Schizosaccharomyces pombe: one gene and its partner. The protein of the gene in region 1 purifies or fractionates together with the protein of each later gene. This does not show direct contact. Each region holds a gene or a part of one and is shown in the gene's direction. Other genes may lie near its edges.

Region 1 (6,989 bases):
ATCGCTTCTAAAATAAGATATAAAGAGCTGCAATAAGAGCGATACCAATTATGATAGAAAACCAAAACGCAATATTTCCCAGCAGTCTATGTCTTCGAACAAACTTCTGTCGCTGAATAATGATATACGGGATTTGAGTCATTTGAAAAAACAAACCGTAACCGCGGATTTTTAAAGTGATACATCCCATAACAAGTTCATGTAATACAGAGGAGACAAAGAACGTGAAAAAAGTCGATAAAGACTTTGACATGAAAGAGTTGAGGGGAACATAAACGTGGCGAAGGAGAAAGTAATGAACGGGCTTATTCCAGGTTCGGGCAAATTGATCCCAAGTCCAGCAATTCCACCAATCATCATAAAAGTTTCTATCGGCAAATCTAGTAATCTCTGCGCTGAAATTACAAACTCCTTCAAAAATGACCCAGAACACGAGGAGGAAGCTAAGCATAAATGGGAACATCAAAAATGCTACAGTATGGCCTAAACGTATAGCAAAATAAGTAGCAGATGCGTCTTCAGGAGCTTCAATAATGGTTCGAATGGCTTTAGCAAGTACAGGAACCATGAAATGATCAGAAATAATGACCAAAAGAAAGATACAACCAAACGTTCCCAAAGCGCATTCAATCAAATAATGAATTCGCACATGGGCGGTTCTTGGGTAGTATAATTGATAACATAAGCTGGGCATGAAAAGGAAATCCAAAGCATTTGGTATGGTTAAATTTTCCGGATAAGTATTACCATGATGGTTGAGACAATGTTCATAAAACTCAACTGAGGATCGTTCATCATCATCAAGATCGGTTTTTTTTGACTGAAGCTTATTTAACGAATGATAACAATAAGAATACCAACCGTTGACAACGTTATAGGAATGAAGCTTCATAAGGATTACCATAGAATGAAGAATAAACATAGCACGATGCGTCCAGGACCAGTTGCTAAGACAGCAGCGTAAAACACAATGGCTTAAAAAAAGTAAAATAAGAATGGAATAGAGGTAAACGCCTAAACCATACCACCGCAGATATCCCAAAGCAAAAATCTTTTGGAAAGGAAAAGCAAGTAGAAACATTGAAGACATAGCAAGGTCTGCCTTTGCCAGATCTAACAAATTAGACTGAAAGTATTTAAAAATAGTGCCAACAACTGGTCTTCCAGTCAATTCGAAATTTTCTAAAAAGCTCATGAAAATCATAATAGAGACAGCAACCCAAAATAACACAAAAAATCCAGTAAAGTCTACCGCATTACGTTGATAATTACGAGCAAAAATCGAGGGAGTAGGAGATAATTCCAGAGGTCGGTAAGCGGCCCTAGACCTTCGAAGGTCAATTTTTGAGGTTTCAGAAACACCTTTGAACGTCTGTTCCAAGTTGACATCCGATGGTTTGGATTTAGCGGGTGTTGCAGCAATCATCTTTAAATAACCAGCAATTAAAGCAACTAAGTGAATATATAACAAAAAAGATAAATATATAAAGAAAAAGATAAAACAAAAAAATAACGTAAAATCAGCAGCTACGTATCGCGAACAGTATCAAAGAAATTGAAAAAGAAGCGGATATGAACGTAGGAAGATTAAATTTATTTTTTGCTTCGCTTCTAAATAAAAAATTGAGGAATGAAAGCAAGAAACTTAGAAATGTAATCTATTGATGGAAGTTCCAACTTGGAATTTCAAGATGACAGAACTGGTATGACGAAAACTCCACAGTCGTGATTCCAAAAATAAAAATTCTATGCCAAATGTTCCACTATAGAATGGAAGTAAATAAAAAGCTCGAACTCCTAAGCAATTCACGTTCTATGCGATTTATGTAAGGAAAAGCCAAGTCTCCAGTTTCAAAATGAGCAAAGGAGTTGATAAGTTAGAATTGCGAGCTAAGACGATGAACCACCTGATCTCAGCAATATCTGCAATACTACACCACGTTATGTAAAATTTCGTTACGTATCACTATATATCACATGTCCTATTCATTTATCCGCTATATGTGATACGACATTGGCACTTGCTTATTGTAGCTTATTACCAAATGACTGACAGGTACAAACAAAAAAGAATGCTCAATCGAACCTTTTTCCCTTAGTTTACATATTATGAGCATTTCAATAATAATTTACAATAACACCTTAATACCCGATTTTCGCGTTACCTGCATATCGCAATATAGTAGTGCACAAATACAACTCACTGTGATTTAACGTGCCATTAAAACTGGTTACAAACTGCATAGTTAAGAAGCAAAGCCACATAGCGTGGTCAAGAACGAATAGAGAAACATAAATTCCAGATATTGCCCATCAATTAACAACTCCATATAGCAAATTCGATAGGATAATTCAAAAATTACACAGATAACCAAAGGAAGCTAGGTATTCTTTTAATTTGTGCAGTATTGGTGAATGCATCAGTTTTGAGCGTCGTTTAAAGCTGCATCCTATTTTGTTAAGTGAAATTGATTTGATTTTCATTGTTTTATATATTCTGTGTTTAGATTGCGTTTTTCTGTTTGCTTTCAATACATCTCATAGAAATGCAAGTTAATATTTACTGGAATCAATTATAGTAGGAACGTAAAATATCTCAGTGAATATTGGTACGGATGGAAAGATAACTTTAGTATTGCACATGGATTTTATTAAGAACCTCTAATAAGGGAATGTGTATTAAACGTAATATGATTACTGAAAAGCACAAAAACCATACCTAAAAAATATTCAACTCTTAGCCATAGTACACCTTCTTAAATGTACTTGCAATAAGTGGTAACATAATATTAAGTTAATCAATATAAATGGTATTTACATCTGCTTAATAAAAACTAGGAATTATAAAAAAAGACACTTCAGCTGACTTAACGTAACACAGCAGCAACAAAACAAATTAAAATTTATTTTATTTAAAGCATATTTTTTAGTATTCATTATTGATAGATTGACGAAAGAGTCGCAACGTTAAATTCGTTTTAAAGAAATTTACCGTGCAATACCCTACCGCATGTACAAGCAACAGCCAAGTAATGCAAACAACACATCCAAAGAACCTGCATCTTACTTGTTCGGGAGTGGAAAGAGGTTTCACCAATTCCCCAAAGACGCATCCAAAGATGTCAAGTTTAAAATCTTTTATAAAGGCTGTTCGGGCATCCAAAACGACTGCTGAGGAGCACACAACGATTCTCAAAGAGTCGGCTCAAATCAGAAAAAACATTCGTCAAGGTTCTAATGACATGCGTATGCGCAGAAAAAATGTTGCCAAGCTGCTATATTTATTTCTACTCGGTGAGCCGACACACTTTGGTCAGATTGAATGTTTAAAATTGTTGTCGAGTTCGCGATTCATGGATAAACGTTTGGGATACCTAGCAGCTATGCTTCTGTTAGACGAGAACCAGGAAGTTTTGACGTTATTGACAAATTCTCTTCAAAATGACTTGAAATCTAGAGACAAATTTATTGTGGGGTTGGCATTATCTGCGTTTGGTAATGTCGCTGGCCCTGAGCTTGCAAGGGATTTGTCAAACGACATAGCCGAACTTTGCTCTAACCATCATAATTATATATCAAAGAAGGCTGTTCTCTGTGCACTTAGAGTAATTCAAAAAGAACCGGATTTGGAAAGTTTATATATTGAGAAAACCGATGAATTGTTACATTCAAAAAGTCATGGTGTTTTAATGGCTGCTCTTGCTTTTGCCATCAGTGCTTGCAAAATAAATCCGTCGCTAATATCCCGATTTGAAAGTCAAGCTGACGATTTGATTTATCGTATTCGTCAATTGTCCACTAGTACTTACTCCTCTGAGCATAACATTGGCAATATATCTGATCCGTTTTTGCAAGTTAAAATCCTTCAGTTTTTGTCAATACTTGGTCAAAATAACCCTAAAATTTACGACAAAATGAGTGATCTTTTAGCTCAAGTCTGTACTAACACTGATTCCTCTAGAAATGCAGGTAATGCTATTCTTTATCAAGCTGTGCGTACCATCCTTGATCTTAATTCTGACAGTAGCCTTCGAGTTTTGGGGGTCAATATTTTAGCAAAGTTTTTAGGTAATCGTGACAATAACACTCGTTATGTTGCTCTTAATATGCTGAAACTCGTTGTAAATAGTGAAGAAAATGCAGTTCAGCGTCACCGATCAACTATCCTTGCTTGTCTTAATGATGTCGACAGTTCTATTCAATCTCGTGCGCTTGAACTTTCTACATTTCTCGTTAATGAGGCGAACGTTCGTTTCATGGTGCGTGAGCTTTTATCATTTCTTGATAACGTTTCTGATGAATTACGTGGATCCACTGCTCAATATATTACAGAAGTCACAAATGCTTTTGCTCCCAATAAGCGATGGCATTTCGATACCCTTCTACGAGTCTTCAAATCTGCTGGCAACTTTGTCAGTGAATCGACTCTTTCAACGTTTTTACGACTCATAGCTAGTGCTCCTGAACTTCATGAATATGCTGTGGTAAAGTTGTACGCTGCTTTAAAGGAAGATGTATCTCAGGAAGCTTTAACTCTTTCTGCTTTTTGGGTAATTGGAGAATATGGTCAGATGCTTCTTTCACCAACAATGAATTTTGATGATGATCAAACCCTTCCTCATTCTGTTTCAGAATCTGATATTGTGGACATTATTGAGGAAGTATTTAATAGCGTTGAAGCATCTAGGTACATAATTGTTCAATATGGTCTTTTCGCTCTCACGAAGTTAAGTGCTCGTCTAGGTTCTTCTTCTACTGCTTCTCGTATTGACAAGATAATTTATTCCTATAAGAGAAACAAGAACACCGAGGTGCAACAAAGATCTGTCGAGTTCCACCTTATATTAAATGACTCCAAATTGAGCAAGACAATTCTAGAACCAACTCCCGCTCCTCTGCCTCCTCCTAGGACCACGCCTTATCAAAATGCGGAGCAAAAGCTAAAGGCTAACAAACACGTAGAAAAACGTGTTCAGGAAAGCAACGAATTGCTAGACCTCATTGGGTTAACTACCCCTTCTGTTGCTGAGCCCTTAGAAACACCAGTGGATGAAATGACTCAAAGCCCTCAATCCAGCTTAAGCCGCGCTCCTTCTACTTCCAAAAAGAGTCATTTTGAAGATATCCTTGGTTTATTTGCTTCTCCGGCGCCTTCAGCTCAACCGGTTGACAGCTTGGCAAGCAGCTTTGCTTCTTTGGACTTTAATGCTTCAGCCAGCCAACCATCAAACAACTTGTCTTTGCTTTCTTCCATACCATCAACTTCCAAATCATACCCTCCTATTGTTGTATTTGATAAACACGATGTGACGTTAACTTTGGTGCCATCCAAAGAAGAAAGTACCAAAACAGCCGTCATTGAAGCTAAATTTAAAAATAAAAATCCAATGACTAGGGTTGAGAAAATACATCTAGAAGTGGCAGTTCCCAAATCACAGAAACTGAAAATTCAGCCCTTGAGGACTACAAGTATGGAGCCTGGTGGAGAAACTTCTCAAACCCTGCGGGTTCATGGGCCATCGGGTTCTCAAGTCAAACTGCGTCTACGTATCTCTGTGGTCCGACAAGGTGGATCAAATACTCTCGATCAGGTAGATTTTGGAAAGTTGCCATCTGACCTTTTACAATAGTATCCGAAGTATGGACAATGCCATTTAAAATATAACGCTCGAGCTATCAAAGAAGATTTCTGACATGATCCATGCTACACTTTTTGATGGGTCTAGTCAGTTTTACGAGAAAATGTTCGTAGAATAGTGAATAATGAGGTAATAGAAAATGAAAGCTCTAATTGTTTTTATGAAAGAAAATAGGTTTTTTTTTATATAATTTTAGCAATTTTCTCGATATGGAATCATGGTATACTTATTGGATAAGTTCACTTATGTAATTTTCAAATTGAGACTTGCTCATTCTTTATTGTATATCATTGAACGGAAATTTGACCTTCCAAACCCTTCATTAAGAAGTGGTCGGATTTAGAATTAAAGCTGTAATATTATTTTAATAGAAGTGCATACCTCCAATACAATCGCAACTAGAAAAGTATAAAATGTAAAATCCTAAACTTATTTCCTTTAACAATTGATCAATGCAATAATTAAGCCTATGAATTATATATTAACTAACAGAGAGTAAATCCAACATTAGAAAGCATTAGTCTTGCTTTAAGCTTTTTCAGTACTATGCGCACGTTCAGAAATTAACTGTTGTATATAAAATGCTATTGCATTTTGATTTTGTGTTTCCAGAGACCGCATTCGCTCTTTTAAATCTCTTTCTAAATCCCATGTAGGCTTTTTAGGTCGCAAAGTTACCAAATCTAGTTCTTCAACAGGAACAGAACTTTGTTCTTCAATTTTTCTCTTAGTCTTTTCTTCAATCTCCTTCGATAATGCTTCAACTGATTCAATCATGTTTGGCGGTTCCACGAATCCCATTTTAGGTGCCTGCACTTCTGGATCATAATTTCGATGCTCAATTACATTTTTTTGAACCTCTTGAGAATCGCGAGTTTTATTCTCTAACTGCTTTATTTTCCTCAATTCCGCTAATCTCTGTTTTCTGGACTCTGCTACCTCATCTAATGAAGACATTTTTTGTTCCAATACAAAAACACAAAATTCGGAAAAACCACACTATAAAACCAGAATGAATGTAGTAAGATACTTTTTTTGTAGTAAGTAATAAGATTAATATCGAGAGATGTTAAAATTCCTAGAATTAACTAGAGTTTGACAATGCACAATAATTCCAGTTCCTAATCAGCAGTATCAAAAAACAAAAACAAAAATTGAGTGTGTAATTTTATATTAACCTAATAGCGACGAACTACCAGATCGTTTTACTTTCTAGTTATTTTTGATAAATGCAGAATATGTATATGAATATTGAGAAGTTAGGAAAATGCAAACCAAGCTCGTTGTTGTCATCTACGCAGTTTGGTATCTGTTTTACGGATACGTAAAACTGCAGTGAGTTTTCCTTGT
Region 2 (6,765 bases), on another chromosome or scaffold:
TTGACTGTAGACCAGCCACTTTCTGTTTTGAGTTTTCTTTGTTTTTGACACTCTCCTACCAGCATACCGGTCTTTGTTGTCGTCCTTTCTTTGCTTACCGTTGTTACACTGTCGCTCGCTATATCGTTCCGTTCAGCATCCTCTGTTAGATATTCAATTGATAAAAAGCGGATCGGTATTTCTAGTTTTCGTTGTTGTTTTTTATCATTCCGTTGTTTATTAAGATCTCCACCATGTGGATGCTTAACGGTTCGTAAAGCGAGCTCTTAGCCAATCATTTTCGCTGACGGCCCGATAGACTCGGCAGAGTAGGTGGAATCAACAAGGGTGAAAATTTCGTTAGGTTTACTGAAATTTTTTTCATCCAAAACTTTTTCATCTCAAGTTAAACTCTGTGACTTTTTAGCTGATGTTGGATTGCTGGTATTACTGATTGATTGTGGAATGTTCATCTCTGGGGTGTGTCTTTTTTTGAGGCACATCATGTGTTACTTTTGTGTGTAGTCGTTAAGTACTACCAAACATGAAAGCAAGCGTCTGAAAGAACAATAGAAATTTCACTAGTTTTAATGCGATTGAGAGGCTTTCATGTTGATTTTTACTAACAATTTTTAGGTCATGGTTAAATTCCCTGGCAGATGCCACATTCGGAAAGCGGCCATCTTCCTTTGAATTTATCGTAAACAAAACCCGCTTTTCGTCCGCCCCGGTCGTTGCAACCATCATCATATCTTACTATCTTTTAATTCTTGTCGGAGGTAGAATTATGCGTAATAGGCAACCTATCCGTCTTCAAAAGATTTTCCAATATTATAATTTGACTTTTTCCATCGCTTCAGCTATCCTTGCACTTTTGATTTTTGAACAAGTAGCCCCTGCTATTTACAAGCACGGTTTTTTCTTTTCTATCTGCAATGAGAAAGCATGGACTCAACCGCTGGTATTTTTATACTACTGTGCTTATATTTCAAAATTCGTACGTCTCCATCGTTTTTTGACCATACTTTTTTCATTCTAACATACGTTTTAGCTTGAATTGACAGATACTTTTTTCCTTGTCCTCCGCAAAAAACCCCTTCAATTCCTTCATTGCTACCATCATGGTGCCACTGCCGTTCTTGTATATACTCAAATTGTTGGCAGAACTTCCATCAGTTGGTTGATCATTGAAATCAATTTATTGGTTCATGTTACTATGTATTATTACTACTATCTTGTAGCCAAAGGTATTCGGGTTCCTTGGAAGAAATGGGTCACCCGCTTTCAGATCGTTCAGTTCTTTGCTGATTTAGGTTTTATTTATTTCGCAGTATACACGGAGGTTGCGTATCGGTTGAAGTTTTACAAAGCCTGTATGGGCCATTGCTCAGGACATCCTTTAGCGGCGTTCTGTGGTCTCGCAACAATCTCTTCATACCTTGTTTTGTTTATCGTCTTTTACCATAACACTTACAAGAAAAATGCTGCTCTCAAAATGAAAGCTAAGGCTGCAGCTGCAACAAAAGGTAACTCATCAGAATCTTCTAAAAATGCGGACTTAAAGCGTCTCTCAAAAAGTAACGCTTCTATTGCCGAGGTTAAATGCAATAATATAGTTACTAATCTGTATCCTATTTCTTCAGGTTTAAACAATGAAAAATAATGTTTTCGTGGTACCTCTTATGGTTTTTAATTACCCGATTTTGCTCTTACTTATAACTTGATATTGAGCCCTAAAGTCTACAAGTGCCTTTTTTTTCTTTGTTCTGCTTAACGTTGCATTTAGAATTACCAATTAATAGTTGGAGTGACTTACGGGCGACGATTTTGTGAATTTTGAAAGTACTTAATTGTCCGTTAGCTTTACATCCTTGTCTATATTCGATTACTACCTTTTATCCAGTGAATCCTTTTTCCCATTCCTTAATCAAGATTTATCGACGTCTTTACATGTTCTAAACTTTTTAGCTAAACCTCTACTAAGTATAGATTTGTTAACTTCGTGGTATCTTAAGGTCAAACTTGATGGTGTGATAATATAATTAAAAAAATCAGAGCCAAAATCTTTTCTTCAATATAATGTTCTGAATCTTTTTTTCCAAAGATTAAAAGTCCATTTGTTTAATATTTTATATTAAAAAACCATGGTAATACTAATGCACAACTTATGAAAAATGGGTATAAATTAGTAAGAAAATATACGTTCTAATAACAGTACTACAGTTGTGTAAGGTTGGTAAATTTCTCTGTATAACTTGTAGTCATTGCAAGTGAGCATACGGAATTCATTATTTATTTTGAAGTTTTCTTACTATTTCAGTTAGGGAGCGGCGCCGGTTAATCTAATAACAGTAAATACGTTTAAAACAAAATATATTAGTTTTTTTTTTATTACTATTATAAATGACTTACACAGCTTAACGGCAAATAATGATTAACCCCCTTCAGTCATAAATTGACTCAACTCATTTCTCTCATGTCAAACAAAAATTTTCCTTCATTCGCGATAGTATACGAAATATACACTCCTTAATCGGCATTTTAGCAATATCAGCACATAATAAAGAACATATGAGAATACAGGCAAAGCTTAATAAATGTTTTATCAAGAACTGTAAATGACAATGTCTCGTGCGGATCAAATCCTACAGCATCTCTTAAGGGAACTAATACATAATGATTCATTAGTTGCTAGTGAATGGTTAAAACATTCAAAGAAAATCATTCAAAATGTCCCTAGTTCGACATTGGTATTTCATGAAATGATAGAACATATAAAAGGGTAACGTAAAGCAGATCTGCCGATTGTTGTTGGAATGTTAAGACTAACTTGATCTAGCATCTGTGACAAAATGGGTATACAAGGTCGGGAAGATTTAGAAATGCCTTTACGAAACGCTTGTGAAGTTCTCAATCGTCAAACCGTTAGTGTCAAGCAAAGTATATTGCATGCCCAAATATTAAAACTTTTCCTTGAATTATCTAAACCACCCTCAGATATACATGTCCCACAAATTCCCGTCTACAAAGATTGCAACAAGAATGAACAAGAAGCTATAATCCAGTTATTAACTAGTTGTGAAGGAGACCACTGGTTGATGCCTGACTGGTCTTCAATGCCTGATGATGAAACCATAACAGAAGACTCTGAGGAAGAAACTTTCAATGGAAATGCTAATGAAATTACGATACCAGCCAACATCCACATCCCTATCATCGAGGAGTCTGACAACGCGTCTAACAATAAGCTATGTACTTTATTTAAAAAAAGCAAGCAACCGAATTTAGATTTTTTACAGATAAAACCCTTTATGTTTTGGGATTCTAGTTTGAACGAAACTGTCCGAATATCTGAAAGAAGTATTATTCGCGACTCTATATATATGTTGATAGGTTATCCAAGTTTTTTCTTCTTAAAAAATGGTTCAAAAATTGAAACACGACTTTCTTTATTACCAAAGCTTCATCACATGAGCGAAGAGATTCTTCGCAGTATAATGACAGAACTTGCCGATTACGGTTCTAACTTGGAATTTTTTCGACAAAAACTAACATCTCCTAGCGATTCGTTTTTTAAAAGTGATGACCAAAGTACCAAGAATGAGCCGTTTCTCTCTGTTGTCTTCATTTATCCTCAAATAAAACCACATCTCTTAAGTTGTTTAAAAAACACACACCAAGAGCTTATTAAACTCGAAACAGAAGTTTATAACGCTACAAAGAACTGTACTCTTTTTCAATTTTTTCAACATGTAAAAAAATTCGTTGATCCACTATTGTGCTTTCGTTTCGCTTACGAAAAATCAGCAACGAATATGTGGGATTTTGTTAAAACATTGGAGTTCATATATTCAACAAGGAATTACTCTTCACAAATGTTCAAGCTCTATAAAGCTTCTGCTATTGCAATGTTATTGTGGATGGTTAATCAAGCCTCACAAATTACCAGTTCTATGACTATAGCCAGGCCTCTATATAACATTTTAATCCTTTGTAAGGATTTTCCTAACAATTTCCTTGAGAAAGACAATATTGCTCTCCAATTGGGTAGTATTGTTTTTGACCAATCTCCAACTCTAAACAATTTACTTGTGGAAATGGAAATATTAATTAGAAGCAAAATTTTAAAGCTTGGTAAATCTTTGGATTTATCTTTTGACTTTCAAAGTTTAATGGGGGAGTTTGAAAATTTAATAAAACAACAAGAAGAAGCTAAAAAGTCGTTATGGTCAAAAAGATTTAGTCGTTTCTATTATGGGCATTATGTATTCGTCAACACCTGTCATAATTTTTTCCTAACACTATATCAATCTTTTACTGAAGTTGATGAAAATTCTATATTCAACGGCGTTTTTGAAACGCTTAATAATGATGTTGATGATGAATCTGTAATAGGGGAAAAAGAGAAACTTATTTTAAAGCAAAAGCAGAAATGTTTATCTGAATTTTTTGTTGATGACATAAAGAAGCTCTTAAATGAAGAGCTGCTCAATTGTCAAAAGCAAGAGCTACCAGATGTCATGGAAAATACATATCAAATTTCGACCGTTTCAGGAATTAAAAATGATCCGTTATTTACGTTGGACCAAACCTGTAATATAATAGCGAAACTAGCGGACAATCTCATACATCCTTCTGTTCCCATTGGTAGTTCTGCCTATCGATGTAGACGAAATTTGGCTGACTTATTATTCCTTATAATGCCATGATTACGATAAAATGCCATAATATTTACCATTACGTGTATAGAATCAATAGATTTCATAAAAGTAACCTTTTGGATGAGTAAAACCATACTGACTTACATGCGATTTCTCTAGTTTCATGTCGTTTACTAACGAATGATATTTGAAAAAGACCTATATCTATTAAAAAAAATGATAGTGTGCTTTAATGAAGGTAGAAAATCATTAGTCATATTTATTTGCTTTGGGTGTTGCTGATAGTTTGCATCACCCATAACAAACACGAGTCCTTTTGAAGAGGCTCTTTAACTTCTTCTTATTCATTCGTAAATCCAAGGTTCAATTGTACGATCGTAAACTTGGATTTCCGAAGGCTGGAACCAAAGTTTAATTTCACGATTAGCGCTTTCTATGGAATCAGAACCATGGCAAACGTTTCTACCAAGGTCGATACCATAATCACCGCGAATAGTGCCAGGGGCAGAATCCAGAGGGTTACTGGCGCCCAACATTAAGCGACCAGTTTTCACGGCTTGTTTACCTTCCCATATCATGGCACATACAGGGCCTGATGCCATGAAACCAACGAGTTTCTCATAAAAAGGCTTTCCTTTATGTTCGGCATAATGTTCTTCCACAAGATCACGACTAGGAACTAAAAATTTTAGAGCACGTAGTTTGTAGCCCTTCAACTCAAATTTTGAGATGATGTATCCAATCAGTCCTCGCTGAACTGCGTCCGGTTTCACAGCGATAAAAGTTTGTTCTGTCGACATATCAAAAATGCTTATACTCGGTGATATGAGGTGGTTGAGTAGATGGGAGCTGTCCCGTCTACTATCCCATATAAAGGATTACGGAGCAAGGACAAATAACACTCACAATATGATTGCATAAACAAAGCGGAAACAGATGTAAATAATAAAAAATGATAAGAATCGTTATAGTACACCTTCTTATATTTTTAGAGCACCAAGCCTCAGATATCTTAATGGTCGTAAATTATTGTTTACAAAAAATGCATATTTACAAACACATTACAAAGCATTCAAAGCGTACCCGTAGACGGTAAGCCAGTTTTGTTTTTTTACATACGTAAAAACTCTCCACAAATCAAAAGATTGTAAGGCTTATTGTATACTATATAATGGATTTGTTATTATCCCAATCGCCAACTTCTTACTGTTTTAGGACCATGTAACGAATGAAACCACTAATAAAAGTTAGAAGAACTTGTAATTGATACCAACTTAGTATTGGGATACCTGCAAAATTTGATTATCAACCAGTTGATAATAGATACAATTCCAAGTACATCTACATCACTTCATGCAAACGGTTTTTTCCGTACATATATTAGTTATCCCTATACATATAATTGTTAACATTGTCTTGATATACGAATAAGGCTTTTATGATTATTCCTAGAGTTTTATCCTTGTTTGCGAATTTATGTATATTCGTAATGGCATATACTCGAAAATCCGGGATTTAGATAAGCTTAAATCATTATATGTCTATCTAATGAGCATGACAGCCGTCTCACAATTTTACTCATAAACGGACGAGGGATAAGTTGTTTTTCTTAACAATTCAGTTGTAGTATCATCACTTTTTATTTACATTCTTTTCGAGCGCTGTTTATCTGCACATTAAGTCACCATTGTACGCATAACCATTATACCACCAAAAACGCAAAAAATATCAGTTTAAGCTGTAGGTTGTTAAAAAGAACCGTTTTCCTTTCAAAAAGGTTTACCTTTAATATTTATTATTGATATTAGTGACAAGAGGCACTGAATATCAGTTTTGAGCCAACTTTGAGGACATAAAAGTGCTTAGATCGGGAAACGTTTCTTTTGCGATTCGTCGTCAAATTTCCTCTTTTCTTTTCTTTTTTATTTCAATTCTTTTTATAGGTTATCCTTCATTCTTTTTCTACAACTGTTATTCGAGAGTTGCACTAAGAAATCACAAGTAATTCCAACCAAATTTAGACGCTGGTTATACATTATCGTTTTTCCATACCTAAAGGGTAATTTTAATTTTTTTCCTTCGTTTCCCATATCCTACTTTGCTATTCATTTTTCTTTAGAATTTA

What was found.
Region 2: the proteins of apl4 (region 1) and mod21 purify together in Schizosaccharomyces pombe (affinity purification with western blotting, with the first as the bait; one study listed by BioGRID). This does not show direct contact.

The regions. Positions count from the first base shown.
Region 1 is NC_003421.2:2,398,948-2,405,936, forward strand, and holds apl4 (AP-1 adaptor complex gamma subunit Apl4), read left to right. Parts: upstream 1-3,049; 5' UTR 3,050-3,119; coding exon 3,120-5,630; 3' UTR 5,631-5,856; downstream 5,857-6,989. Other genes in the region: acyl-coA-sterol acyltransferase Are2, read right to left, coding at 8-1,426; protein Cwf18, read right to left, coding at 6,168-6,596. UniProt on the Schizosaccharomyces pombe protein: Adaptins are components of the adaptor complexes which link clathrin to receptors in coated vesicles. Clathrin-associated protein complexes are believed to interact with the cytoplasmic tails of membrane proteins, leading to their selection and concentration.
Region 2 is NC_003424.3:246,603-253,367, reverse strand, and holds mod21 (gamma tubulin complex GCP5 subunit Mod21), read left to right. Parts: upstream 1-2,441; 5' UTR 2,442-2,597; coding exon 2,598-2,761; exon of another isoform or gene 2,762-2,818; coding exon 2,819-4,688; 3' UTR 4,689-4,789; downstream 4,790-6,765. Other genes in the region: fatty acid elongase Elo1, read left to right, coding at 616-976, 1,031-1,642; nucleoside diphosphate kinase Ndk1, read right to left, coding at 4,985-5,440. UniProt on the Schizosaccharomyces pombe protein: Component of the gamma-tubulin complex that is required for the regulation of both interphase microtubule organization and nucleation, and mitotic bipolar spindles. Required for correct septation.